Diceros bicornis minor: one gene and its partners. The protein of the gene in region 1 interacts with the protein of each later gene in a pairwise test. Links are inferred from orthologs where the notes say so. Each region holds a gene or a part of one and is shown in the gene's direction. Other genes may lie near its edges. The genes, in order: CREB3, UNC50, NKG7 and AQP5.

Evidence for each region.
Region 2: the proteins of CREB3 (region 1) and UNC50 interact in a two-hybrid assay, tested with the Homo sapiens proteins (2 studies listed by BioGRID and IntAct). The two-hybrid records come from large-scale screens. The link is inferred for Diceros bicornis minor from reciprocal best matches to the Homo sapiens genes CREB3 and UNC50.
Region 3: the proteins of CREB3 (region 1) and NKG7 interact in a two-hybrid assay, tested with the Homo sapiens proteins (2 studies listed by BioGRID and IntAct). The two-hybrid records come from large-scale screens. The link is inferred for Diceros bicornis minor from reciprocal best matches to the Homo sapiens genes CREB3 and NKG7.
Region 4: the proteins of CREB3 (region 1) and AQP5 interact in a two-hybrid assay, tested with the Homo sapiens proteins (2 studies listed by BioGRID and IntAct). The two-hybrid records come from large-scale screens. The link is inferred for Diceros bicornis minor from reciprocal best matches to the Homo sapiens genes CREB3 and AQP5.

The regions. Positions count from the first base shown.
Region 1 is NC_080767.1:4,150,682-4,157,971, forward strand, and holds the start of CREB3 (cyclic AMP-responsive element-binding protein 3), read left to right. Parts: upstream 1-4,002; 5' UTR 4,003-4,194; coding exon 4,195-4,332; intron 4,333-4,436; coding exon 4,437-4,584; intron 4,585-4,660; coding exon 4,661-4,728; intron 4,729-4,842; coding exon 4,843-4,932; intron 4,933-6,022; coding exon 6,023-6,129; intron 6,130-6,261; coding exon 6,262-6,330; intron 6,331-6,955; coding exon 6,956-7,040; intron 7,041-7,137; coding exon 7,138-7,222; intron 7,223-7,290. UniProt on the Homo sapiens protein: Endoplasmic reticulum (ER)-bound sequence-specific transcription factor that directly binds DNA and activates transcription. Plays a role in the unfolded protein response (UPR), promoting cell survival versus ER stress-induced apoptotic cell death.
Region 2 is NC_080779.1:14,717,874-14,725,488, reverse strand, and holds the start of UNC50 (protein unc-50 homolog), read left to right. Parts: upstream 1-4,537; 5' UTR 4,538-4,627; intron 4,628-5,733; 5' UTR 5,734-5,737; coding exon 5,738-6,017; intron 6,018-6,785; coding exon 6,786-6,906; intron 6,907-7,615. Other genes in the region: cytochrome c oxidase assembly factor 5, read right to left, coding at 4,267-4,365. UniProt on the Homo sapiens protein: Involved in the cell surface expression of neuronal nicotinic receptors. Binds RNA.
Region 3 is NC_080773.1:26,976,656-26,983,131, forward strand, and holds NKG7 (protein NKG7), read left to right. Parts: upstream 1-4,868; 5' UTR 4,869-4,963; coding exon 4,964-5,120; intron 5,121-5,205; coding exon 5,206-5,352; intron 5,353-5,438; coding exon 5,439-5,573; intron 5,574-5,662; coding exon 5,663-5,721; 3' UTR 5,722-5,873; downstream 5,874-6,476.
Region 4 is NC_080756.1:19,837,946-19,845,371, reverse strand, and holds the start of AQP5 (aquaporin-5), read left to right. Parts: upstream 1-4,195; 5' UTR 4,196-5,596; coding exon 5,597-5,959; intron 5,960-7,020; coding exon 7,021-7,185; intron 7,186-7,426. UniProt on the Homo sapiens protein: Aquaporins form homotetrameric transmembrane channels, with each monomer independently mediating water transport across the plasma membrane along its osmotic gradient. Plays an important role in fluid secretion in salivary glands.

The DNA.
Region 1 (7,290 bases):
AAGCTACTTACACTGTCTCTATATATGTTATCTCAAACATGCAGCCCCTACACAGATCCCATCACAACCACGTTATCTTCCTGTAAAGACGCCATCCCATGCCCACACCTTCCCCATAAATACACCTCTATCAGCAAGCACACAACTCGCCCCAACATCTCTCCTCCTATTATGTGGACATTCTCCCTCCATTCATCCAGCAAGCATTTCTGAGGGTCTGTTGTGGGGAAGGCCCCCAGCCAAACTCTGAGTGGCTGGGAACCAAGAAAAGTAAGCCCTAGCCTTTGTCCTCAAGGGGCTCCCAGTCAGCTGAGTGGATAAACTAAATACAGTTGTAAAAGAGGGCAGGATGTGGTAAGAGCCAAGAGGTGTGTGCTCAGGGGAGAGATCCCTTTAGATGAAAAGGGGACCAAAAAGTCTCCATGAAAAGTGTCATTTGAAGTTAGGATTTTAAAAAGTAAAGATAATAAGAAATACTAACAATCTTTTATTGACTATATGTCAATTGCTTTGTATACATAATTTCATTTAATCCTTACAACAACCCTGCAAGGTAGGTGTCATTATCTCCATTTTTACAGATAAGGAAACTGAGGCTCAAAGAAGTTAAACACTTGTTCAAGGTGCTTGTCCAAAGTCACACAGCTAATGAGGTGTGAAGACAGGATCCGAACCCAGGTCTCTCTGACTCCAAAGCCCAAGCTCTCTCCACTAGGCCAGCTGGAGCTGAGTCAGGGGTAGCATTCCAGGCAGAGAGAATAGCATAAGCAAAGGTGGAGAAGCAGGAAATCAATCGTGGAGGAGCATTCAGGGAAGTGAGAGGCAGGCTGGTTGAAGCGCAGCATACCTGCAAGGGAGCAGTGATGGGGAAGTTAAGATGAGGATGGAAAGGCTGGTGAGAACTAGGGAGAGTATGAGGAATGATACCTACTAGGGGGCAACAGGAGGCCAAGGGAGGCTTTCAGCAGAGACGGGACATAACCAGAACCAGATTTTAGGAAAATAACTCTGGCAGTTACCTTGGAGATTAGTTAGAAGGATACTGCATTAGCAGAAGTGAGGGGTAATGAAGCCAGAGTTAGAAGGGTGGAGAGGATGTCACTCATCAGAAATTTTAAGAGGTAGAACTGATAGGAACTGATGACAGTCTGTCCTGTCAACCCTCAGGGACCAGGGCCCAAAGTCAGGCTGGGGTCCCATAGCTTCTTGTCATCAGCAGTCACTCAGTGGCTGGGCAGCTTGAGTTTAGGTCAGGAATTGGGAAGGGGGGAAAGAAAGTATAAGGACAAGCTGGGAATGTGAAGATGAGGCTGTGGTTAGGAGATGTGGTTAGGCTGAGGGAAAAAGGGATGGGGATGTGGTTAGTACCAGGTAGAGGGGCAGAAGGGATGAGGTCAGTGACTGCATTGGGCTGGAAATGGGGAAGATGAGGTGTAGAGAAAGGCTGGGGAAGATGGTAGGAAAAATACATATATGATCAGTCACTAGATCAGGCTGGGGGAAACGGAAGAATAATTATGTGGACAGTGGCTAAGTCAGGGAATGATGCAGTGAGGTCAGAAGCCAGGTCAGGCTACGAGACTGAGAAGAGAGGGAGCTGTGGTCAGTGGCTAAATTAGGATGGGATGGGCAAAGAGTGAAGGGACACCAGCAGTGTCTAAGTAAAGCTGGAGTTGGGGGTGGTGCATGGGGTGCAGCCAGTGGCTGGGTCAGGCTCGGTAGGGGATAGTGCTGTGGTCAGTGGCAGGGTCAGGCTGGGAGTGAAATGGGGGTGTGGTCAGTGGCCTGGCTGGGCGTGGGATCAGCAAGACCCAGTTTCCTCTTTGGGTCTCATTTCCTCTTTTCTGTCAGGGGAGTGGGGGAAGGGGATCTACAAGTGGACCAAGAAATTAAGGCTTAGAATCAGGGATGGAACACAGCAGGCATCGGAAGTACTTGGCAGTTGTGTTGGGCTGGGGCTGGAGTATTCAGCAGATGATCAGGAGGTATTCAGGTAGATGAGCGGGTGAAAATGGTGGGAGAGTGCTTTAAGATGATGGGAAAGCTCAGAGTTGGGCGACAGTAAATTAAGGTAGGATGTGTGCGGATTAAGGGGTGGGAAGAGAGGCAAAACTGAGGCTGGGAACACATGGCAAAATGAAGAACATGAGAGAGTTAAAGACAAGGGAAGCATTCTGTAAGGGGGTATGCAAGAAGGGTGTGAAATGCAGGGCCAGGGAGGAGAGCTGGAGTGGAGAGCTTAACATTGAGAGAATGAGGAGAATGGGAAGCAATGGGGCTGAACTTTCAGAGGATCAGTCATCCCCCGCTCCTGTGGCAACAGTGTTTTCTTGGTCTGCTTCCCCCTTAGTCACCAGTCCCCTTTCCTCTAGGCAGTCCCCTACTCAGGACTAGGCCTTACACATCTCCTGGGTCCCTGTCCCTTTCCCACCTCCTATCTTGTAAACAACATAGTCCACGAACCTCTGCCCCTCAACTGTTGTGGCCACAGCAAGAGCCTTGGGCTTAGAGAGTAGAATAAAGCAGCTGGAGTCCCAGATGCCTGCAATTCTAGCTGAAACCCAGAACCCTAGCCTGAAAATAGTCTGTCATTTCTCTGGGCCAAAGAAGCCCCTGCGACTACACAGAAATGAGAGACCTCCTCGCAAAACAGGGCCTCTACCTACCACTAATCTTAAATTTCACGTGTCCGAGATCCACTATCCTGACCTCAACCACAACCCCTAAAACTGCCCCTAATTCCTAACACTAACCCCAACCCTAATGTGTTTCCTGTTTCCCAGTACTGGCTTTGACATTCACCCCTTTCCTAGCAGACACCTGTATCCAATCCCTGATTTCTAATATTTACCTTTAAATGGTGCTAAAAAGCACCAAAGCCCCTGACCTTAACCCTAAATGTTGACCCCTAGGTCTAAAGCTCATTTGCCACTTGATTCCTGACCCACCTCTTCACTTTTTATCCCTAATACTGACTATGCCAACGTTCTCTTATCCCTAAAACTAGACTTCCAACCTAATTCCTGTTATTGACCTCTAACCTGACCCTGAACCGTAACTTTGACTTATCTTGGCCACCCTAAAAAACAAAATAATGACCGTAATCCAAACTTCACCTACATAAAACGGACCTGACTCACACTAATAACACTAAATTTTAACCCCGGCTTCATACCTCCTAAAACTAACCTTGAGTCCTAAACCGAACTCCACCTAATCCCAAACTCACCCAAAGCTTTCCTATCCACATACCCGCTGATCCTCAAAGCCGATCCCCGCCCTGCGCCTCACTACCACCCCACTCCTCGCCCTCCCCAAAACCTATCCCAGGCCGAGGACTGCTCCCAGGAGGGGGCTGGCTCCCGCAAAACGGCCTACTTAACTCCGAGCCCAAACCGAGATACACTGGCCGCTGACCTCTCCAACAGGACCCGCAGGAGGAGACGCAGGAGGGTCGGGGCCCCGCCCGCCCGCCTCCCGGCCCCATCCTGAGGTTCCGGCTGGGCCCAGTCCGGCCTACCTGCGCTGCCCGGCTCTGTGCCCCGCCCGCCGGCCCGCTACCGGGCTCGCTCGTCCTCCCGGTGGCTCTCGGGCTCCGGCCTCGCCCTCCCTTCGACACTCCGGCGGCCACTTCCGTCCCCGGAGCGTCCCCCACCCGCGGGCGGCGCCCTGTGCCCGCGCTCTATGGTTTCGGGGACTGAAGGAAGCTGCTCTGGCCCCAGCTCTCGATGCTCGGGAACCCTCCGAAGACCCGCAGGCCCTCCCTGGCAGGAAGCAAGGCTGCGGCGCGATCCGGAGAAGACGCCCCAGTTCCCTTTTAGGCTCGAATCCTTCCTTTTTCTAGCTTGGGGCGAAGGCGGAGCCGCATCCCAGAATGCCCGCCCTCAGGCTGTGAGGAAGCAGCAGAATGCCCGCCCCCTCGATTTGCATGGCTCCCGGGACGTGGCGCCACTTCCGCACTAGGGGAACTCCGTGTCCCAGAATGCCTTGGGGGCATGGGCGTCACTTCCGTTGTGTTGGAAGCCGGGGAGACTTGAGTTCAGGAGGCGTGTCCCCTTTGAGAGCGTCGGCTAGCAGCTCCGGGGCAAGCCCGGTTGAAGACGGACTGACGTTAGGGGAGTGTCTTGCATGGGGTTCGGGGTTGGGGCCAGGTGGAGGGGCGAACCCCTGTGTTTCTACGCATCCTTTCCGTAGATGTCCCATATGGAGCTGCCGTCGGACCCGGGTGACCAAGACCTGCTGGACTTCCTGCTAGAGGAAAGCGGAGATTTGGGGGCGGCGATCCACGAGGCCGTGGAGGCTCCGCTAGACTGGGAGCTGCCGCTTTCTGAGGTGGGTACGGGCTCCGAGTCGGGGAGGCGCGGGGCGGGGAGGGGGGCGTCCTTGAGGCAGGGGGTGGTGATAGGTCAAGGCCTGTTAATTTGAACCCTGTGCAGGTACTGAGGGATTGGGAGGCCGAGGATTTCCTGAGCTCTCTGCTGAGTCCCCCAGCGTCGTTGAACGTTCTCAACTCTTCTAACTCCTGTCCTGTCCACCATGATCACACCTACTCTGTACCACAGGAACATATTTCCATAGATCTAGGTGAGTCTGAAGTAAGAGAAGTTTTGGGAGAGGAGAGGACTGATGGGCTTGGCTATTCATATTTTCTCTTTTGCAGATAGCGGGAGCTATGGAAAAGAGGGGGCCCAGATGACTCCATTGCATGTAGAGGAGCCAGCAGAGCAGGTACTTGATTTGATTTACGGAGGAATATTCCCACATTGCATGGGTGGAGGTAGGATTCCCCATTCCTCTCTGATATTGCCTTGCAACTTTGCTGCCACCTCCCTGGAACCCCAGGAGATTGCTAGGCTGATACTGACAGATGAGGAGAAGAGGCTGTTGGAGAAGGAGGGGCTTACTCTGCCTGGGACACTTCCTCTCACTAAGGTAAGACTCCCATTGGTGGAGCAAGGCAGCAAAGGAAGTTGAGCCCCAAGTAGGCCAATTCTGTTAATTTTATATCAGTAACTTGAAAAAGGACTGAGGTGAGAAATTTAGCAAATTCCCTGCTAATAGGAAGCTGGTGCATGTAGTTAATATGCTGGATGCAAGAGCTGCTCCTGGTTTTGTGGGGCTTATAAAAATTTTGGTGTTTTCTTTAAGAAAAAAGAATTCCACATTATCAGTGCAACATTAGTATAGGGCATTGGAAAGGACTGTGCAAGTGAGGGGCCCTGACACATTTCACTGGCTTCGTGGTAATCCACCTCTTGTTGAATGGTAGAATTAAGTTTTAGAGAGTTTATCAAGGCTGGACCAAGCAATATAACAGGAATAAATGTAAAATTCTGAGCTTTAAGTTTCAAGCAACAAATGGCAACTTCACAAGCACAATATTGTGACACTGTGATGAAATCGACATTCACTGACAGAAAGGTTAAGAGAATTTTAATTTCTTAAAAGTACAAGATGAGTCAGCAATGTGATATGGCTACTAAGAAAGTGAATGGGGTTTGGAGGCTGTAATCAATAGAGGTGTTGCCTCTAGAAGGGCAGTGACTATCTCTCTTCTTTATACTGGCCAGAGCACATCTGAGTGTTTAGTTTTGAACCCAGATCTTTGACAGATATTAAACGGATGCAGTCCATACTGATAAGATGACGAGTTAAAAATTTTGCCCAGATTTTTTTTGACTCTGAAGAAATGTCAAGCGCCTTAAAATAGCTCAAGATCATTTGTTCTATATGGCCCCAGAGATTAGGTACTAGGTAAGTCCAAAGGCTAGAAATTAGAGAGGCAGATGTTGGCTCAGGATAAGGAAGGTTTTTTTTTTTTTTAATTAAAATTATTAAAAGGGTCCGGCCTATGAGGGCATTAACACCTGGTCCTTGGAGGCATTCAGACAGAAGCCAAGTGCCTGTTTGTCAGAGAAGCTGTAGAAGGGATTCCTGCACTGGGAAGAAGATTGAACTCAGTTGCATTCCAACTCTTTGGTCCAGTGTTCCTCTGATGATAACTTTTCCTGCCTTCTCTCAGATGGAAGAACAAGTTCTGAAACGAGTACGGAGGAAGATTCGAAACAAAAAGTCTGCTCAGGAGAGCCGCAGGAAGAAGAAGGTGTATGTGGGGGGTTTAGAGAACAGGTATAAACGGGAGAGGGACTCGGTGGTGGGGTATTGGAATTGGAGTTCCAATACCTTCCAAAAGTATTGCAAGTGTTAGGTTTTTGAAGGGAGGATACAGGCCACATCCCCACATCCCTGTTATTCCCCTAGGGTCTTGAAATACACAGCCCAGAATCTGGAGCTACAGAACAGAGTACAGCTCCTGGAGGAACAGAATCTGTAAGCAGCTCTGCAACATCAGTCCCTTCTCATCCCTCCTATTTGGCGCTGTCTCACTTTTTCCTTTGCTCCACACTTGATTTCTAACTGGGCAGCTCCCACATGCAAGGTCTGGTGGTTGGCCCTTACTGGGTCTCTAATTCCAAGCAGCTCACAGTAATGGCGAGTAAATTCACAAGTAACTAATGATAAGTACCAAGAAAGAGAGAGGAGAAAGAGTAAGAAAGACCTCATGGGGCAGATGGTATTTAATAGCAGATAGGATTCTTGTGGGGGTGTTGAGAGTATTCTAGGTAGAGACCACAGCATAGTCCAGTCTGACTGGAACTCTTTAACATGAGTGGAGTCAGAAGGAAGAGAACATAGAATGCCTGGTGAGAATTATGTGCATAGCTGATGGGGCAGTGTAGGAAGTACTGAAGGTATGTGCAAAAGAGTTTTAAGTCACGCCAGAGCAGAGGGATATTTTAATGAGGAACTTCAGGCATTTTGTCCACAGAGAGAAGTCATTTGCAAAAAGTAAGAGAGGATCCAGTGCACAGACGGAGGGAGTGGCCTTAACAGGAGGGTTTCACTGTATCTCAGGGTGCCAGGCCAGGGGCTGCTCACTGCCCTCTTCCCCTAGGTCTCTTCTGGATCAGCTGAGGAGACTCCAGGCCATGATGATTCAGATATCAAACAAAACCAGCAGCAGCAGCACCTGTGTTCTGGTGAGGATGCTGATGGAAGGAGAGATCCTCTTCTCAGGCAGCAGGGACAGGGATGCAATCAAGAGCCCTTCATCACCTCCTGTTTCCTGTACTCCAGGTCCTACTGTTCTCCTTCTGTCTCCTCCTCGTACCTGCTATGTACTCTTCTGACACAAGGGGGAGCCTGCCAGCTGAGCGTGGAGGTGAGAGGCTTGAGGATACCATTAAGGGCGGGCTAGGGGAGAAGCCTGGCTTGCCTCTAAAGAGTCTT
Region 2 (7,615 bases), on another chromosome or scaffold:
GGAGGTTAAACAATCAACACTAGATATTCCTGCCTACACAGGGCTGTAATAGCAGCTAGGAAAGGTGGGCACGTACAAGCGCTGACTGGCAGTGTGAGCGTGTAACAAGCAGGGAGAGGTGCTAAGGGGGCTTGGTTTCCGGGAATGTAAATATATAAAATAACATCTGGAAAAAGTAGATGGAACTTGAATTTTCTGAATCACCTGAGGTTTAATGACATCAAACTATGATTTGCAATTCACAAGGAAAAAGAAGTCAAAACCTTACATTACTATTAAAGAAATAATAAAAGTAAAACACACTGCTTATAAACATTAGCCTTACACAGTGCTTGACAATATAAAGATCGTGAAGTCTTCCTACTGAAGGTGAGCTCCAACGTAAAATGAGTCAAGCAACTTTGTCTGAGAATCAGAATGACCCTATTCAGTGTTAACCTTAAAAGTTCAAACAGCCAGAATCAGGTGCCCTAAAATCAGAACACTTTTAGTCTTGGTACTAAACACTTTAGACAGACGTTAGTGAGGTCGACTAGAGTACTACCTACATAGAAACACCTGGTGCGTTCATGCACCAGGAAAGATGTAACCCAAATTTCACCTGCTCTTCGTCATCAGGGATTTCCTCTCCAGCAGATTTTGACACAACAATCCCACCACTGCAACTACTCCCCAAAACCTTTATTTTGCAAGTGCCAGTCACACTCCTAGTTTTTACTGTGGAAAAAGCTGCAGGATACCACATCTGTGGCATTCCTCATCCCCAGGAATCCTGGCCACTTCCTAGTCCTTATGTCTGCTTGGGTCCTAGATTTCAACTGTCATCTGCATCAGTGAATCTCAAAAGTGAATCAGAACAGAGCAGAAAGCTTCCTTGCACTATTATGTTCCTCCTCCAAACTCCGTCATGAGGGGCTGCTGATGGGATGTGTGTTGCCCACATGAACAATGGGAGGAAGATAAAAGACTGTAACTATACAAAAGACTATAATTTATAAACCGATGCTTCCTCAAACTGTAGCTAAGATGCCATCTTTTTCACAAGCTTTCAACCCGTACTGCCAACTGCCTGGTGGGAAGATCCACCTAGATACACTAAACCTAAAAGAGAAATCTTAATTCATCTTCCTCCACCTCCACTCCAAATGGCAGACTGCTAGTTGTCCCTTAATATCTACTCTTCCTTTTTAAAAAGTGGGGCGTCTGGCTGGGCTAGATTTCCCAGCCACCCTTGCAGCTGGGTGTGGTCATGTGACTAAGATCTAGCCAATGGATTATGTGGGGGAACCGAAAGGTAAAACTTCTGGGTTGGTCCTGAAAGGAAAGTGGCTTGGCCACCTTCCCCACTTTACTCCATCATGTTACTAGCCTGATGATGTGGAAGCAAGGCGATATTAGACCATGAGTGTGAAAGTAACATCCTATCTTCCATCACAGCATCTAAAACCACAAGATCAATGGTGTATGGGTCCACGGAAGACGGAGAGGAGCTCTCCAGGCTCTACTTATAGGCCCAAGAGCAAAAGGGAATTCTCTATCTTGTTTAAGTCATTGTTATTCTGGGTCTCTGTAACGTGTACCTGAACTTAGATCCTAACTAATACACTCACAAGCTTATTTGCCTTCTGAGGTCAAGATTGGTGATTCCCAAACATGGCTGTGCCCAAGAATCAACCTGGGATACTTCTAAATTATTTGTGGTGGAGGCGGGGGAGCAGTCGAGTCTGTACTTGTAAGCTCTCGGCCCCCATCTCCAGGTGATTCTGATGAGGAATCAGCAAGTCTGGAAGCTGTTAATAGAGGCACAAAGGAGATAACTTGTGATTGAGGTTCCTTGGGCATAGTTTCAACCGTTTTTATCCCTCAGGAGTTATAAAATCCTAAGTCTGTCTAAGAGATGCCTTTTGAATCTTTTTCCTTGCTTCTCCTCTCTAGCCCCACTAGAGGTTACCTCCTTATCACCATTACCCTGAGTTTCTCTGAGCCTCTCCAGTTCCTTGACTGTCTCCCATCCCAGGACCTTGAACTAAATATTTGTTTATGTTCAATTCCTCCCTAGAGGTCCAGCAGCTTTTCAGGTGAGTTAAAGATGAGCAAGGAGAGACTACAGCATCCATCTGCCAAAAGATCAGATTAACTTCTTTATTCAAAGAGCTAAGGAATCAAAAATCTTATCATAAATGAGGTGGCCATGCAGAGCAGGCAGAGACCTCAGCAGAACTTCCCTTGGTCTTCAGAGTCCCTATGGGGAGTGGTGGGCTGTAGCTGCCAGTGACACCATCCGAGAAGACAGGATATTGTCCTGGATCTGCAAAACTCATTGTTTGGCCTCAGTACTGCCCTTTTACACTCCAGCTACAGTCACAATTCAGGATGAATTTAACACAACCTGTAAATGCACTTCCGTTTAAGGGACTGTTCATAAACATCAGGTTCTGCTAGTGACCTAATTCAGCATCAATAAGGCCACATACTCAACGAGGCAAAAACGAAGTCTGTGCCATGTGTCCTGGTCATTATCTCTGCCTACAGCTTTCCAGTGATCCAATTTCTACACAGGAGTGAACATGTCCCATTCATCTGTATGTCCTCTGAATTAGAGCTTAGCACTCAAATGTTTGCTAAAGAAACGAATCAATGACTGCAAAAACCAACTTGGTATTCTCCTTGCCACCATTATCCTCCTCTACTTCCTGAGTTTCTTTCCTCAGTCCTACTCTTTGTACTTTATTCCTTTGATTGTTCACCTCCATGGCCTTCCTGATGCTGAATGTCTGGATAAAATCCAGGTTCCTCACTCTGACACACAAGGGCCTTCACACATGGCAACCTTCCTTTCAAGCCTTCTGTCACATTCTCCATCCTCCAGGCCCTCCTACATCTCCCCAACTCTGCACATGCTGTTCTTTCAGATTCTCCCACAATCACCACAGCCCCCACAATTCTACTTTATCAACTCCTCCTCAACCTTTAAGACTCAAATCAAATGTCACCTCCTCTGTAAGAAGTTTCCAAATTCTCAAGCAAAATAAGTTGCTCTCCACTGGGCTCCCAAGGCATTTTGCTCCTAAATCTACTCATTAAACAGATATTTACTAAATGCTTACACAGCCCTTATCAAGGGATTTAGCCCCTGTTTACATGTCTATTCTTCCCATCAGACCAAGCTTACACAGGCAGCGACTGTAACTGATTCATCCCTGTATCACCATTGCCTGGCATCACACCTACCACTTAACAGGCATTTACTAGGAGCTGGCTGAATATGAAGCAGCAGATTGGAAACAGCCCTGGACAGGGGAGCCTAAAGGCAGGGCACCTCAGTGTCGTCATCCGTATAAAAAGAGCTAGACTGGATAACCACTTAAATTCATAACAACTCTGAAGTTTTACTAGACACTGGGAAGCCAGTCTGGCTGACTGCTAACATCAGTGAACCAAACGTAAATCGTGAATCAGTAGAAACACTCATCTAGCCTTATGGTGGATGTCCATTTTGTGGTAGTTGTCTTTTCTTGGAAATAAGACCAACTTTCTGAAATTACATCTCCGAATGCAAAAATAATTGCACACAATCGACTGCCCTTCTCATCAGGCCTTTGTGATCGGAAAACGCACTTGCGCTTCAGCTGGGCTCTAGGCTGGAACCCAGGTCCCCAGGCAACTCTGACCCTCACTGCGCGCCGCACTCCGTCCAGACTGGCTCCTGAGAAGACGTGTGGCTGTGGTGACGGACGAGTGCACGGGACACAAGATACAAAACGGTGACAACATGAGCTGCCTCATTTACAACTGACCCAAGAATGTAGACAACTGCAACTCAGACACCAATTCAAACCAGCACCGGGAAAACATAGTACATATTCAGCCACAACTGAACAGGGAGAGGAGAAATCACGAGCCAGGAGTGTACCAGGTTTATGTAATTCTCCTTTTCTAGAGCGCAAGAAACCTGTCTTATTCTTCTTTACATCTCCAGAACCCAGAGTGGCGGCCCTCAATAAACGTTGCTTGAACGCAAGTGGTTTAATCCTTACAAAAAACCCAACGGGGCGGTATCGTTATCTCCAATTTAACACCGGAGGGATCTGAGGCTCCGACAGCGCATATGCCCAAGTTCCTTAAACTGGAGCTGTGGTCTACACCCCGGACAGCTAACTCCGAGTCACGCCTCCTGACGGCCCCCGCAGGCCGACCGCGAGCCCTTCCCGGGGCCCCGCCGCCCGGTTTCAGGCGTCGGCACGCCCGAGCGCCCGGCCGCGCTACCTTGAGCACACAGTCCGACTGCAGCAGACAGGCGCCCAGGTCCTCCCGCACGCCCGCGCACGCGCCGCCCTCCGGCTTGTCCTCGTAATACCGGGGCATGACTGCGCCTCCCGCCCGCAGCGCCCCGAGCCCCCTCAGGCCGCACCAGCCGCCACCCGCCGGGAGCAAGCGACTCCCGCGGCAGAAGGAACCGGAAACCGGCAGCAACAACTTCCGGCGGAAGTGGGCGCACGTGACGCGTCACGTCCCCGGCGCTGGCTACGTTGCGGGAAGGGAAGTTGGCCCGGCGGCTGCTGGGCTCGGCTGCTGGGCGGAGGTGGGGGGTAGTTTGGCGCCCGGCGGAGGCCGCAGCGGGGTCCAGGTGAGGCCTGAGGGCCGCTCGGTCCGCGCGCGGCTCGGGCTCGCCTGGTGCCGTTTCCTCCGGCGACTCGCGGCCCGACCTCCCTGGGCCGTGGAGGGACCGTGTCCGGGTCCCGCTGCTCGGCCCGCCGGAGGGTTGCCGGATGAAATCCAGGACGCCCAGTTCCAGTTGAATTTCAGATAAACAACGAGTGGTGTTTCAGTATGAGTGTGGCCCAGGCGATGTTTCGGACACGCTCATACTAAAAATATTCTTGTGTCTGAGGTTCAAATGTAACCGGGCGTCCTTTGTTTTTACTTGCTAAATCTGTTAACCCTGCCCGCGGCCCCGGGCTGGCGGGGGTCCTCTGGGCCCGGCGAGGCGCTGCTGGCGTCCCGGAGGCCTGGGGTGCGGAGCCGGAGGCTGGGCTGGGCTGGGCTGCCGGGGCGGGGGGGCCGGGCGGTGACCTGCGTTCATCTGGCTTCCGACTGGTTCCAGGGGACTCCCACGCTGTCATTCCCCCTGCTGAACCATTCAGGGAGTAAAACGCTATGGATTGGAGTTTTGCTTTGTTTTGTATCACGTTTTAGTGAAAGAGTTGCTTGCTGGTCACGCGCCGATGGACCTATGGGATTAGGCCACTTATTTTATCTCGTCGGTAACATTGTTTCTAATTGGCTTCAAGAAAGGCTTTCCCTTAAAGGCTTGATGGTTGAGAGCGCGGAATTTTGAGCAAGAGTGCCTGAATTTGAATTTTGGCCCCATCACTATCTGTGTGCTCAAGAGGGGGTTACTTCACCTCTCAGGGAGTCTGTTTCCTCCCTCCCTTCCTCACCGTAGCTACCTGGGGGGGCTCTCTGAGGATTGAGGGAGGTGAAGTGTGAATAAGTGTTGTTACGGTGATTTAGAAGGCTGTGGTACCATCCTTGCCTGAAGTGCAGCTGGCAGTTCTCGAGCCCCCAAAACAAGCCTTAGAAACAACTCCATTCGCTTTTGACCCCTGTCTCTTCTCGTGGATTGGGGCAGAAATGTAAAGTGATCTTCCTCCTGGATAATTCAAAAGAGGGGTGATGGGAGCCAGCTGTTTCTTGAGATGACTTGTAAAAGGATTTTTTTCTTGTATCTAGGAAGATGTTACCAAGTATGTCAATGAATTCCCCAGTGCAGGGGAACGGAGCCCTGAATTCCAGGGATGCAGCAAGACACACGGCTGGAGCAAAGCGCTACAAATACCTGAGAAGGCTTTTTCGCTTTCGGCAGATGGACTTTGAGTTTGCTGCCTGGCAGATGCTCTACCTGTTTACGTCCCCACAGAGGGTTTATAGAAACTTTCATTATCGAAAGCAGACAAAGGATCAGTGGGCCAGAGATGACCCTGCTTTCTTGGTCCTGTTAAGTATCTGGCTCTGTGGTAAGTGTTAGTTTACCTGCAATAGAGTTGAAGGAGAAATTGAGTGTTTCACGTTGGACTTGTCATTTGGAGAATCTTTTGTTATAAATGTATTATGGGTCAGAATTTGGGGATATTTGAAGCAGTTGCTTCCTTTCTGAGGCCTCAGAAATCTCCTCAGAGGAAACAGGATTGTATTCTTTCTGGTTCTAAGGTCCCAAGCAGACGCCAGAGTAAACTGTTACCTGGGAGCTTTGAAAAGCAGAGGACAGAATCACTCTGTCTTTTAAGTACTGTGATAAATAAATCAAGACCCAAATGCAAACTTACTGTGAAAAGGAATATTGAGATTGGAAATTGCATTTCACAATCAGGCAGGTCCAGAGTGAGAGTTGTAAAAGTACTGATGTGAACTTGAGAAACTACTTGAGTTCTCCAGTAGTGTAGTGAAAGGGTCCTAACCAGCTTTAGTGTGTTGAAGTTTGTAAGATTTTTTTCACCTTCACCTGGACTTAAATATGTGAACGCTTTTTCAGTACTAGTGGTGTTCTAAATGCTGGGGCTACCCTGGTGAACCACAGACTGACAGGGGCCTCCTCAGGAAACTTCAGATATCGCAGTGGCCATTTTGTGTTCCAAGGTGGTCTGCATTTCTTAATCAGTTACATAGAACACATGTTTGGGGTTCTGTTTACATACTAGACTGTGGGCATCTGGAGGGCAGGGACTGGGCCCCATATCCCTAGAACCCAGCAAAGTGCCTGAATGCGTCTTGTAAATCTTTTCCAGTATCCACTATAGGATTTGGCTTTGTGCTGGACATGGGATTCTTTGAGACGATAAAGCTTCTCCTTTGGGTTGTATTCATAGATTGTATAGGCGTTGGTCTTCTCATATCAACTTTAATGTGGTAAGTACCATAACTTTGGTTTTTCAGATGCTGCTTAGAGCCTCCATTTGCTTGCTTCAGAGGTATAGTAGCTGATGGAAAGTAAAACGAGATAGACGAATGAAAACATCAATTTTGACTGCCAAGATTATCAGAAGATAAGGATGGTCTGTATTGTCAAAGTGCAGCAAATAAGTAAATTGAAATAATGATTATATCATACTGATAAAATCCCCGATTTTGCAAAAATATTATGCAGTTAGCCAATTCTGCTTCAGTTGTCTGGGTGATGGCACAATTTTCTGTGGCATTTGTCAGTGGGTCACTTGTAGTCGTATACGATCCAGAGGGTTATTTCATGGAATCTTTGGCTTTAAATGAAGTACACTTGAAAAGGGGTTTTTGTTGTTGTTGTTGTTACAAAACTTTTGGTGCCTTCCTGCTGAGAGACATGCACGCAGAGGTTTTATTGGAAGAGTTCTCAGTCTGACTTGTCTGGGTTTGCTTTAACAACAGTAGTGTCCTAAGTATAAATCTCGTGTTAGGTTTTTCAGTTTCTCACAGATAGAGTGCTCCTGTGTGGCTGGCATGCTGGGTGAAGGGAATGGATGTGGGGAGTGAGCTCAGTAGAGAGCCAGTGGCTGAGTAGGGGTGGTGGTCCTTGTATATCAGAGAAAACACCATGGAACGTTTTAGTCACAGAGAGACCTGGGTTTAGGCGCCAGTACTG
Region 3 (6,476 bases), on another chromosome or scaffold:
TCCCCAGATATAATATTTATTGGGGCCTCCTCAAATAATACCATATTAATAAAGTTTCCTCTAATGATAATGGCAATTGAGGCCTTCTCTAATAATAATTTATTGAGGTCTATTTAAGTAAAAATATTTACTGAGGCTTCTTCCAGTAATCATATTTATAGGGGCTTCCTCGAGCAATAATGGTGATTTCATACTTATAACTCCAGACTCATATCTCCAACTCCTTACTCCACATTTCCACTTGAAAAGAAGAGGCATCTCACATCTCATGTGTCTAACACTGAATTCCTGATCTCTCACACTCCACATCTGCTCCTCCCACGGTGTGCCCCATCTTGGTAAATGACAACTCCATTTTTTCCAACTGCTCAAGCCAAAAACATTGGGAGCATCCTCAGCTGCCTTCTTACATCCCACATCTGATTCATCAGCAAATAGTGTTGGCTCTTCTTTTAAACTGTCTGGAATTTGATGCCTTGCTCATCCAGTTACCACCCTGGTCCAAACCACCATCATCTCTCACCTGGCTTATTGCCACAGCCTAACCAGCTCTGCCTCTGCCCTTCCCTACCCCCTGCCCCGTGCAGTCCATTCTCTACACAGCGTCGAGAGGGAGTTTTGTTAAAACATGACTCAAATCAAGTCACTCCTCTGCTCTAAGCCCTCCAGTGGCTCCCATCTCAGATGAAAAGTTGAAGTCTATCAAGGTCATATGAAGCGTCATGCGTTCTGGACTCTGTTAACTCTCTGACCTCATCTTCCCTCACTCACTGCAATTCAGGGCTCCTCAACACCTGCTTCAGGTTCAATGATTTGCTAGAAGGACTCAGAGCTCAAGAAAGCTATTACACTCATGGTACAGTTTATTACAGCAAAAGGATACAGATTAAAATCAGCAAAAGGATGGGGCTCACAGGGCAGCGTCCAGGAGAGATCAGAAATGAGTTTCCAGTTGTCTCTCCCAGTGGAGTGTCCAGACAGCACTTACTTCTCTCAGCGACAACGTGTGACAATATGCACACGACATTGCCCACCAGGGAAGCTCACCTGAGCCTTGGTGTCCAGTCTTATTGTCCAGTGTCCAGGTCAGGGTTGCAGGCATGGAGAAATCATATGGCTGGTCTCCAGCCTCTCCAGGGGTCATATTGATACCGTGTGTTTCAAAGCCCCCACCATAAACCACGTTGACATGATCGACTATCTGGCGCGGCCCAAGGACCCCAGGTAAACAGACACTCTTACCAGGCAGGCATTCCAAGGACTTAGAGGTTCCTTCCCAAAAGCTGGGCTAGGCCAACCCTTTCTTTGGTCAATGTTACTGCTCTGCTCCTCAGTCACTCTGCTCCAGCCTTGTTGGCCTCCGTGCTTGTCCAGGCATGAGCCCACCTCTGCCTATACCACTCTTCGCAAATGTCTTTCAGGTCTTTGCTTCAAAGTTACCTTTTCAGTGAGGTGTCTCTGGCGACCCCATCTAAAATCACAACCCTCCCCCTCTTCTCTGCTTTTACCTCCCCACAGCACTTTTCACAAACATACTATATATTTTTCTTACATCTATCTTATTATCTGTATCCCCAACTGGAATGGTGGTGCCCCTGAGGGAGAAATTTGTGTCTGCTTTTGGTCATCTCTACATCCTCAGTGCTTATAAGGCGGCACCCAGCACATGGTAATCGCTCAAAATAATATTTGTTGAAAACTAAATATTTATTCAGGTCAATTGATAATGATATTTATCAACTTAGATTATTTGTTGGGGCCTACTCTGATATTTATTGAGATTTAATATATTTTTATCATCAAAATAGACCACATTAAATATTGGTAAGAGTGAGCCTCAATGGAAATTATGGCACTTTCCATAATAACTGTTAATAAACAGCCATCATGGGGCCAGCCCGGTGGCATAACAGTTAAGCGTGGGCGCTCTGCTTCGGCGGCCCAGGGTTTGCAGGTTCGGATCCCGGGCGCACACCAACGCACCGCTTGTCAAGACATGCTGTGACCGCATCCCATATAAAGTAGAGAAAGATGGGCACGGATGTTAGCCCAGGGCCAATCTTCCTCAGCAAAAAGAGGAGGATTGGCATCAGATGTTAGCTTAGGGCTGATCTTCCTCAAAAAAATAAAAAAAATAAATAAACAGCCATCATTTCTTTGCTATAATAGAATGTAGGCTCAATGAGGGCAAGGGTCCCGAGTATGTTGTGCATCACTGTGCCCCCAGGGCCTAACCTAGTGCCTGAACTACAAGAGGGGCTGGTTGAATTGAATATCTCCAGAGGCCTCCTATTTGCCAGATTCTATGCTGGGTGCTGGGGGCCCCCAAATTAATCCAACCTTGTTCCTGCCTTCAAGTTCCTGAGGTCTGAGAATGTATGGGAAGTGGCAGAAGGAGAGACATTTGGGATCAAGCCAAGTACAGGAAGGCCTGGGAGATAATAATTGGGTTGGGGGTATGGGTACAGTGCTCTAGACTGAGGGTGGGGCCTTGGGACTGGGGGGACCTCAGCTCTGAAGACAAAAACAATAGAATAGAGACCAGGTCCCCAGGTGGTCAAGGCAGGTCTCAGGGCTGGGCAGAGCCACAGAACTTCCATGGGGTGATGATGTTGGAGGTGTTCTGTGGCAGTTGGGGGTTGCTGAGGAACCCCTGAGCCTGGCAGAAGTTGGTAGGAATTGGAGAACGTTGGAAGAGACCCCGGTGATTTGGAAAAACTTGCAGTGCTTGGACAAGACTGGTAGAGACTGAAAGGAACCAACAACTGGGACAGCATGGTGGAACTGGGGACATGAGGGCTCTGGAGAGCTTCAAATCTTGTCAAGGAAAGAGATGGAGGTTCTGCGAGACAACTCCCTCTTCAATGTCGTGTTCAGCTGCTTCTCCTTGGGGTTCTTCCTGGCGGCCTTTGTCTGCCCCTACTGACTTGAGGTGTGTGCAGCAGGGCCCACCAAGGACCTGGGTCTACGGTCAGCCTGTGATGCCTATGTGTGCAGAAGTCTGCGGGAGCCTGGTGCAGGTCATGTATGTGCATGCATGTGTGTGCGTGATGATGGTGGTAGTGGGACTTGGGGAGACGAGAAAGAGGGATATAGGCTTGGACCTGGAGGTGGGATGAAGATGAAAATAGGGGGGTGAGGTAGGAATTACAGGGGTTGGGGAGAAGTATGAAGAAGGAAGTGAGGTGGGACTAGGGTTGGAATTGGGACAGGAAATGTGATCTGGTGTGGGGATGGGAATGAGGATAGGGTTAAGTCTAGGGATGAGGATGGGTTTGGGTTTGGGGTTGAGTTTGTGAATAAGAATGGGGCTAGGTTGCAGGATGCAGATAGGGTTAAATTAGAGGTTGGAGCTGGGGTTAAGGAATGGGTTGTGTTTGGGGTTGGGGATGGGATTGAGTTTAGAGTTGGGTTGGGGAATGAGAATAGGGTTAGGTTTGGGAATTGGGATGGGTTGATTTTGGGGTTGGAGCTGGACTTATGGATAGGGTTGAGTTTGGGGTTGCAGCTGGGGTTAAGGATGGCGTTTGGTTTGGGCATGAGAATGGGGTTAGGTTGGAGAATAGGGATGGGGTTAAGGATGGGATCGAAGCTGGGGTTATGGGTAGAGTTGAGTTTGGAACGGCTTCAAGATCACAGATGGGTTCTGTGCTCTGACTGTCCCCTTACCACACCCCCATCACCCACACTTCCTGAAGCCTGTCCAGATGCTCCTCACTGGAGCCATGTCCACAGTCATTTTTGTGCTGGCTTCTCGCTGCTCATGATCTGGATCCACCTCTGGCAGCCTGTCCTCAGGAGCATGTTCTCAGCGTGGCCAGTTACCCCACTGGTGAGGGTCTGGGTGACAGACGGGGGCCTGCAAATTGGAGTCTGCAATAAAGGAAGAAGACCCGGCCTCTTGGTCACTCTGGTTTTCCCTTTCGCCAGCTGTCCAGGGACTGCCGACTCAGTTGGATTTCACGACAGAGGACCTCTTCCAGGCCAGTCCCTACTTCACAGGGGTTAAGTTTTCCTGGGCTGTGGCCCCTTCACCTTGTATCTGCTCACAGGTGGTGCGTCGCCCAGAACCTGATGGTGGGGGAGGCGGCTCGTGCTTGGAGGGCTGGGGGGTCCTGCACTGACAGTCTTGTGTCACCCGCCCCGCAGGCTCTGATCCTGATGATGAAGCCCACCACACTGGAGGCCCTACTCAAAGCAGAGCTGTCTGTGAACTCACTTATCAGATGAGGATGTGGGCATGTCTTCCTCGCCACAAACTTAGAATTGTGATTCTCCACCATTTGCCTGCCCTGGGCATAACTCCAAGCAGGGATCCAGGAGTATGAGCCCCCCATCCACCTGTCCCTTCTTCTCCCAGGCCTCCAGATCTTTCCTTCTCCAGCCCCCTTCTTTTTGTGAAGACCCTCGAGTTGGGGCCCCCCCCTCCTAGAACGGAAGATAGCAAAACCCACAGGAAAGTATGACACATCCCCCAACTGTCCCCTCTGGTCACATCTCCCCTCCTATTTAACTCACACTCTGGTCTCATTCGTCACCTCCCACCTCTGTGCCCCCAAGCTTCTCTCTCACCTCTCCCAGGAAGCCCTCTCTGGTGTTGAGGGCTCTAAGGTGGGACGCATAGAATCTGAGGCAGAGAGGCAAGTTCTGAATCACCACCTAAACCACGGATGATGTGACACCCTCAGTGCTCCCCACTACACACTAACGACCTTGGGGAGGGAAGGACGTTGTCAGTGCAACCCACGAAGGGAGGGTGAGACACGTCAGCTACCAGGAACTGGGTGAAACCAAACCAGCCTAGTCTTCAGGAGCACACGTCCCCAATGCTTGCCAGCTTCTCTTTCTTGAGCTCAGAAGATCCAGGAGTCCCGGGACACAGCCTCCTCCTCTCTCAGAGATCCAGGAGTCTGGTTCACTAGCCTCTTCATCGTCCAGGACCTGGAAACCCAGAGCTGACCCCATGGAACCCTGTCGGTCCCTGGCCCTGCTCGTTGGCTCCCTGGGCCTGACATCTGTCCTGGTTGCTCTGAGCACGGATTACTGGTTCGTGGCCATGGGGCCCAAGGCTTCAGCTCACTCGGGGCTCTGGCCAAAGGCGGATCAGGACGCAGTAGCAGGTAACAGGGAGAGATCGCTCTTGCGGGGCGGGGTGGGGGGAATGACCAGATGGGATGGGCATTCAGAGGTCTCTTCTTTGAGCAGGCTACATCCACGTGACGCAGGCCTTCAGCATTCTGGCTGCCCTGGGGGGCTTGGTGTCTGTGAGCTTCCTGGTCCTGTCCTACATCCCCTCACTGTCTGCCCCGGGCCGCGGGCCCCTTGTCTCCTCTGTCACAGCCTTTGCTGCAGGTAAGGGCTCCGGGCTGCCCTTGGGCACTGGGGACTGGTGAGTTCCTGCAGAGGAGCTGAGCAGTCTCTCATGTCTCTGTCCTCAGGCCTCTTCGCAACGGTGGCCCTGGTGGTCTACACCAGCGAGCGGTGGAGCCAGCCTCCACATCCCCAGATCCAGACCTTCTTCTCCTGGTCCTTCTACCTGGGCTGGGCTTCAGCTCTCCTCTGGTTCTGCGCAGGTGACTGCTCGGGAGGTGCTCGGGAGGGCCAGCTAGGGGCTCTGAGGGAGCAGGGTGGGACAGGCGCTAACCTCTCTCTACCACCCCAGGTGGCCTGAGCCTGGGTGCTCACTGCCGTGCCCCCCTGCCCAGCTATGAAGCCATGTGAGCCGAGGGCGAGAACAGCAGGATGAGTTTGGAGCACTGTTCTCTGAAGGTGGAGCTGGCAGATTACGTGACGCTCCCTCCAGCCCTCACCTCCAGCCCTTCCCCAGCCCCCTTCATTTGTTTCTTCATCCATTCAACAAAAATTGGCTGAGATCTGGTTATTCCGAGCTTAATTCCGTTGCGACATAAGCTAACCACACGCCAGCTCCATGGTGGGCGACACTGGGCACCCAGGGAGGAGTCAGAGCCGCCCGCCTGCCCTCAGGGTGCTCCTGCCATTGTGGGGACCAGTGTGGACTCAGGCACTGCCCTGGGTCCCTCTCCCTGTCTCCATCTCTCTTCTTCGCCCTTCCTTCTCTTTTCTTCCCTGTCTTTCTTGCTTTAGCTCTCTTCCCTTCTTGCTCCCTCTCTAATGTTGTGACCCTTGCCATCGCTCTAGTCTGCCCTGCTCATTTCATTCAGTCATTCGCTTCTGTGGCTGGCTTTTCCTGAGCACATCCTTTCCACTGGGCCTCGTTGGAATGCTGACGTGAATCAGACCTGGGCCCTGCCCACGAGGGGCTGCAAGTCTGGTGCGCACAGGTGGTTAATTCAGGCCAGATGGCAGCGCGGGAGAAAGACTGACCCGGTCGTAGAGGGTGGAGGTCAGCTTTCTGGGGAGAGGCTGTTTAGGGACTTCTCAAGGGCCAAGGAAAGGTAATCCAGGCAGAGGGACCCAAAGGTGGAGGCGTGAAAAGGCTGGAAGTTTTTAGGTGA
Region 4 (7,426 bases), on another chromosome or scaffold:
CCTCCTAAAACTTCAGGCAGGTCAGGGAAGGACAGAAGCCATGCAGGGCTTCACTGCAGTCATGTTCCCAATAATGATGTTTCCGTCAACAATGGATTTCACTCAACAATGGACCACATATATGGTGGTGGTCCCGTTAAGATCAGTACCACATAGCCTAGGTGTGTGGTAGGCTTGTGTAGGTACACTGTATGATGTTCGCACAAGGACAAAATTGCCGAACGACGCATCCTTAAGCGACGCATTACTCTTTAAGAAACGTGGCAGGTAACTTGAGACAAGAGGTTTGACAGCATAGGTGATTCTGACCATCCTATCGGGCAATTAAGGGGTCATTCTGGATAATTCCAGGCCAAGACCACCCTGGGCTCAGAGCAGAACTGCTCTTACCAAAGTATCAGTCAGGACCCACTGTGAGCCCAGCCCTATACTGTACTGTGATTATCTGCCAACCCTGTGAGATAGGCAGAGCAAATGCTGTTCTTTCCATTTCACAGATTAAGAAACTGAGGCTAAGAGACTGATCTAAAGTCACACAGCAGTATACAGTGGAACCAACACTTGAACTCAGGCCTTCTTATTCAAAATCCCATGATCTTTCCACTGAGAAGTCAGAGGAGACCAGGTCTACGCTGAGGCAAGTCCTAGGCCCCTCTTGGGAGCCCCTGGCAGGAGCCACAGCACACAGCTGGGCCAGCCCAACCCACTGTCTTATTGGAAACAGGGCCTGGGGCAGGGCCGCAGCACGGCAGGGAGAAAAATGACAAAACATGGGGCTGGTCTCTGCCTTTGGAGAGCACCCAGTCTGGAGGAGAGTGGAGGTCAGACACACCCCAAATCAGACAGAGGCAGGGCCGCATGGAGGCAGGTGCATAGGCCTCTAGCTCCCCAAGCCGGGGACAAAGAAGCCTCTGAGCTGAAGGGAGGAAGTGGCTGACCACTGGGTCCCAGCAGCATCCATTCCCAAATTCCAACTCGGTACCAGATGACTTTGTACCTGCAGATGTTGCTTTGATGTTGTTCTGTATCTCTAAGCAGTGATTCTGTTTATATTCAATGCCTCCCAGCTAGGCTGTAAGCCCTTTGGGGCAGGGCTCCTTCCAGTTCTTGGATGGCATTCTCCTAGCTATCCTCCATCATTTGTCTTGTCTAGCACAGTGCTCTGCATATAGTAGGCACTCAATAAATGCTCATTTGCCAATAAGTGCCGTTTCTTCCACAGCTTAGAAATGGTCAATACGGTCCAAGGTGCCAAGAGACAGACTGGGGTCTCTGGCATGTCATGAGCTCCCCAGAGCTGCTGTTAGGAATGGTGTAGAGGGGATTTCAATGCTGAATAAGAAGCTCAACCAAGGTGGCATGTGGTGGCAAATTCCCACTGCCAGCCTGGCCAAAATGGGCATCCTTTGTGACCCAGGTGTCACCTTGGAGAGAGAGGGCACCAAGACATGGGCAGGCTGTGTGGCCTCCAGAGAGAGCAAAGAACAGTCCCTTTTGGTCCCCTCATGCTGGCTGTAGCACCGTGTTGGGAAGTCAGGGCAGGGACCTCCAGAGTCTGGGATGACACCTAACACTCCATATGTCCAAAACTGACCCCCTGCTCTTCTCCCCACACCTGCTCCTCCCACAGTCCTCCCATCTCAACCCATAGCAACTCCATCTTTCCAACTGCTCAGGCCAAAGAGCTCGAGTCATCCTCGACTCCTCGTTCTCACCCGCCAGGAGAGCTCCATCAGCGGATCCTGTCAGGTCTGCCTTCACAGGGGATCCAGAATCCCAGCACTGTCACCTGCAACACCACCCCTCAGATCCAGGCCACCACTATCTCTCTCTGGACAGGCGCCTACCTGTCTCCCTCCTTCCACTCCTGCCCCTCCAGGCTCTTCTCAACACAGCAGCAGAGGGGTCATGTTAAAGACTCTGTCAGACCACGCTAGGCCTCTACTCTCTCCAGTGAAGCCTGCAGGCCTTTCGGTGGCACACAAGCTCTGCCCACTTCTGTCACCTCTGTCCTATCTCCTACTCTCCCCCTTGCTCCCTCTGCTGCAGCAACACTGGCTGATCCCTCTGCCTGGAATGTTCTTCCCCCAGATATGTGCATGGTTCTTTCCCTCTCCTCCTTCAAGTCCTTGCTCAGATGTCACCTTCTCAATAAGACCTACACAGACAACCCATTTAAAATTTCAAAGAAACTCCATTCCTACCCCAGCACACCCAGTCCCCTTTAACATCTTCTATTTTTCCATAGCACTTACAGATTCTATCGTACTATATGATTTATGTATGTCCAGTGTTTATTGTTTGTCTCCTTTCACTAGCATATTAGCGTCACAAGGCAGTGACATTCTCTGCTAGCTCATGGCTGTATCCCCAGTGCCTATAACAGTGCTTGGTACATAGTAAGTGCTTAATAAATCTTTGTGGAAGGAACGAATGACTCTTCCCCAACACTGGGAATATGTGGAGCCCCGGGGGCATCACCTGCTGCCAATTAACCTACCATTTCTGCCCCCAGCCCCCAACTGCTCCCAGGGAATCCAGGGGTCCCTATGTCAGGAGAAGAGGGAAGGGGCTCTCCCGGAGAGATTCTAATGCCACTGCCACAAATGGGGACACCCAGCTCCCAGCCCAGAGAGTTCCCAGTGAAGCATTTCTCTGGGGCTGGCAGGGCAGGGCAAAGACAATTCCAGGACACCGTAGCTCCAGGAGTTTCTTGTGACACCCTAGGGACTGAGTGCCCCTGATGGTTAGAGAGAGATGGAAGGGGCTCAAGCACAGGCCTAGGAAACGTAACCAGCGGCCCCCTCTGAGCAGCCTTGACAGATGGGGTCTCCTTCTTCAGCCACACCAGGCCCATTCCTGACAACCCCGAGAGTCCCATCTCAGGTCACTGTGTGACCCTGGGCAAAGCAGTCACTTCTGAGTCTGGATGCCTCACAAGTAGCTCAGAATTAAGTCACACAGCAGAGGCCAAAGCCCTTGGTTAGCTGTAAAAAATTGGCCTCAAGTCCTCAGGTAGGAGCTTCCCTTGGTGGCCCAGCCTCCTGTTAGCACTGCCAAGTCCTGCCCTCTCCAAGATGATGGAGTTTGCGACCTATGATTCATGAAGACAGTGCCTGGAGAGAGAGGATGAGATGGAAGGTGAAAGGGTGCAGATTGGAGGCAAGTTCCACTGTGAAAGGGCCTGGCCCCCAAAGGCCTCTGGGGTCCTGAGGGTCATTGTTCCAGTCTGGGCCAGGCCCGCCCTGAGCCCTGAGCCCAGATGAAAATCCTGTATACAGCTGCCATGCTCTGCCAGGGGCAGGGCCCCAGGACCCACGGCAGAAAAGACAGACAGACCTCCTGCCTAAAGAGGAGAGACTTGGGGGAGGAGCTGCTCCAGCAGGAAACTGGGAGCAGAGCAGGAACAACAGTGGAGTTTCTTTGGTCCCTGTTTTCTTTGGCTTCTTACCTGCCACGGAGTACAGAGCCCGCTCCTCCAGATCCTTGGCTTTCCTCTGGGCCCCTCCCTTTAGCCATGGCCTGACAGACTGATAGAGGAGCACCTGTTCTCTCCCTCTGCTGCACCCTCCGGGGGCGTAGCTCCACACAGAGCCCTCAGGGGGCTTTTTAAATGATAGTCACAACATGAGGAAACTTTACTGAGCCTTACTCTGTGCAAGGCACTGTGCTAAGTGCCTCCCAAGGACACATCACGGGAGTGGTGGTGGGGTCTTCAGTGTAACTCCTCTCCTGGGATCCTGGGGGTGGGTCCCTGCCCCTCCTCCAAGCCCTGGAGGGCCCTCCAGCCTCATTCCCCACATGCCTAACCTGGGGATGGGAAGAGGGTGGGGTGGGAGGGCTGGTGGAGAACAGCGGGGAGCTCAGAGGGAAGGGGCAAAGACAGCAGGCGGGGGATTGGGAACTGGGAGAAAGTGTCACCCAGCCCTGGGGTGGGAGGACTTGACTTTGGGGGAACTGAAAAAGCCCACATGTAAGAGAGGCAGACATGGAAAATGAGGTAGAGATAGGGAGAAACAAAGTCACAGAAATTGAGGCAGAGGAACGGAGAAAGAGGAGATGGAAACTGAGAGGTGAATAGAGAGACGGAGATAGGGAGACTAAGGCTGAGACTGTGAAAGGAAGGAAGGAAAAAAACAGGGAAATTGAAAAGGGAGGGTGGGGCGGGAGGAAGAGAGGGAGAGCCTAAGAGACAGACTGAGCCTGAAATGAGAAAGAGAGAGATTCAGGAAAAGACTGCCAGAGGGAGAAGGACAGGGAGACTGAAGAGAGAGATAAAAAGTGAAAAACAGTGCCCGGGTTTGGAGGAAGAGACAAGGAGAAGGACAGAGGAGAGGCAGAGAGATTGCAAGAGGGAGAGAATTCAAGACTGAGAGTGGGTCTGAAAGAAGAGGAGACTCAGGAGATTGAAAGGAGGAGGAGCAGGAGGAAGAGGAGGAGCAGGACAAGGAAAACGGATAGCCAGCGTGGGGGGGCTTCTGGCAGGGAGGCGGCGAGGCCGAGACCCGGCGTGGAAGGGCAGTGGTGTGCCTGCACCCTCCCGGACCCCCCTCCGCCCCTCCGCCCCTCCGCCACAGTCCCAGGGCCTGTTCCCTGACCCCAAACAAAACGGAACCCGGGCATGCCCCCTCCCGTACTATGGACAAAGGGAACTCCTAGCCCCCACCTCCCTCGGGGACTGGCTGGGATTCCCTAGAGGGCTGTGCTCCTGGAGGGGCTGCGACAGCTGCCGAGGAGGGGCGCCTCCCGGGGTCTGCCTCCTCTTCCCAGGATTGCCTGGCTACTGGGCGTCGAGGATCGACAAGCGCGAGGCAGGCTGGCACGGAGCCACTTTTCCCAAAACGCCCCCACTCCAACCCCGGAGGCCTGCCTGGCCGGGGCGGGGTAGAGGCCCAGCCCGGCCGCCCGCCCCCGCCACCGGCCGGCTTGGAGCTGAGTGGCGCTGTCCTCAGGGAATCGCACCACTCCAGCTCAACCGGGAGTGAGGCTGGGTCAGGATGGCCAGGTCACAGGAGGAAAAGGAGGAGCTGGACCCGGAGACCGAAGAGAAGAAAAGGGGAAGACCACGGCCGGAGATAAAGGCCCAGCGGAGGCAGACGCCCAGAAGTTGGTAGTACCCGACAGCCCCGACCCAGCCAAGTCTCCCAGGGAGCCTGGGGGACACAGCGCGGAGGAGAGCGCACGAGCCGCCTGGAGTGCACCATGCGCGGGTCCCCGGCTGCCGGGCCCGTCTACACCGCCGCCTGGGTGGCGTGGTCCAGGCGGGTCCGCTGCTGCCCCGTCGGGGAGGCGGGCGTTGGGCCAGGGGCACGCGGGGCCGGAGACTGCGGCGAGCCCGAGGCTGCGGCGACGTTTCCACTCTGCGTGCTGCGCGGGCCCCCGGACGCGGGAGCCGCCCACTGCCCCCCCCGCGCTGGGCGCCCGCCGGGTATATAACGCGCCCCTGCAGGGCCTGACCCAGGCCGCTAGCCACGCAGTGCGCGCCCGGGTGTGCTGCCCAGCAGCTGAGAGCCAGCCCGCCGCCCCCTGCGCCGCTGCCGCCTCCCCGACGGGCGCCCCCTGCCGCGGCCGGAGCTGCCCCGCCTCCGAGGCCACCATGAAGAAGGAGGTGTGCTCCGTGGCTTTCTTCAGGGCCGTGTTCGCCGAGTTCCTGGCCACTCTCATCTTCGTCTTCTTAGGCCTCGGCTCGGCCCTCAAGTGGCCGTCGGCGCTGCCCTCCATCCTGCAGATCGCGCTGGCCTTTGGCCTGGCCATAGGCACCCTGGTCCAGGCCCTGGGGCCTGTGAGCGGAGGCCACATGAACCCCGCCATCACACTGGCCCTCTTTGTGGGCAATCAGATCTCCCTGCTCCGGACTGTCTTCTACGTGGTGGCCCAACTGATGGGCGCCATTACTGGGGCGGGCATCCTCTATGGGCTGGCACCGCTCAATGCCCGGGGCAATCTGGCAGTCAACGCGGTGAGTGCCCATGGGGCTGAGGGTGGGACTGGGACCCTGGGGCGGGCTCCGGACCAGGCACCCACAGCCCATCTCAAGAATGGGTGCCACAGAGTGGGCCAGGAGGTGGCAGCCTTCTAAGCTGAGGAAGATGAATCTCCAGGCTGGCTGTGCCCCTGCCCAGACTCCCTGGTTCATACCCACTCCTCTGCCCTCTCCGCTCCTGCTGCACCGTCCTGGCCTCTCTTGGTGCCTACTGCCCCTCCTTTCTTGCCCGAAACTTCTTCCTTTTCTCGTGGCTCATCTCTGAGTTCTGCCTTCTTCTTGGGCCCCTCACAGTCCCTATCTCCTCCTCAGTGGAGTGGTTTCATGTAACCATTGGAGAGAAATGGGTTGTAATCCTGGCTTCGGGTGACTCTGGCCTCTCTGGGTCTTATTTTTCTCAGCCATTACGTGGGGATGATCATAAGCTACCACAACAGGTGTCAAGGGGATTCCATTTAGAAACCATGTGTGGGATCGCCTAAAGCAGAGCCAGTGCATAGGGTCTCTGCTGAATATTGGTTCCTGCTCCTGGCCCCTTGCTGTCTCCTCCCCAAGCCCCAGATTCAGCCCCCATGGCCCATGCAAACTGGGTTCATTAATCAAACACAGAGGAGGATTTTCTCGGCCATTGTCAAGCCGTGAGTCAGCCCCACCGGAGAGACGGGTTTGAGGTTGGTACTGGCAGCAAGTCAGGCACGGGCGGGAGGCAGGCTGGAGGGTGCAGTAGGCAAACTGGGCAGCTGCCCACAGGAGGGAGGGTAAGTGCCAGCTTGTGGGGGTTGGGGACTGGGCAGAACCGTTGACAGGACTGTGTCCAGGAAAAGCTCCCCTCATACTCTGCCCTTTGGCCACAGGCCTGAGCTCCAAGCTTTGTGCACACTGTGAAGTAGATAGTCATTTCAGCAAGTGACCTCCCTGATGTGATGTACTCAGGGCTGGGCTTCCAGGTGTCCTTAGAGGCCCAAAGCCCCATCCCCCCAAGCCCCTGGCCATACAGCCAGGAGAAGGCAGAGGTCCAACCCATCCTGCCCTTGCAGCTCAACAACAACACGACGCCAGGCCAGGCCATGGTGGTGGAGCTGATCCTGACCTTCCAGCTGGCGCTCTGCATCTTCTCCTCCACCGACTCCCGCCGCACCAGCCCTGTGGGCTCCCCAGCCCTGTCCATCGGCCTGTCCGTCACACTGGGCCACCTCGTGGGGGTGAGCAGTGCTGCCACGCGGCTGGGGTTGGGGGGAGCCCCTCGGGGCAAATAATGGGGCCCTGGAGCAGCACCCCTCCCGACCACTGAGTGAAGTTAAGGCCTGGAGTGGGGCTACTGTACTCTGGCCAGACTTGATCCCCCAAAACCTTCTCTAGCCTGAGGAAAGATGGGAGTACGCGGGAGGGAGCTGGGGTGAGGGCAGGAAAGCAAGCCCAAGCTGAGGACAGAGAAGAGAGGAG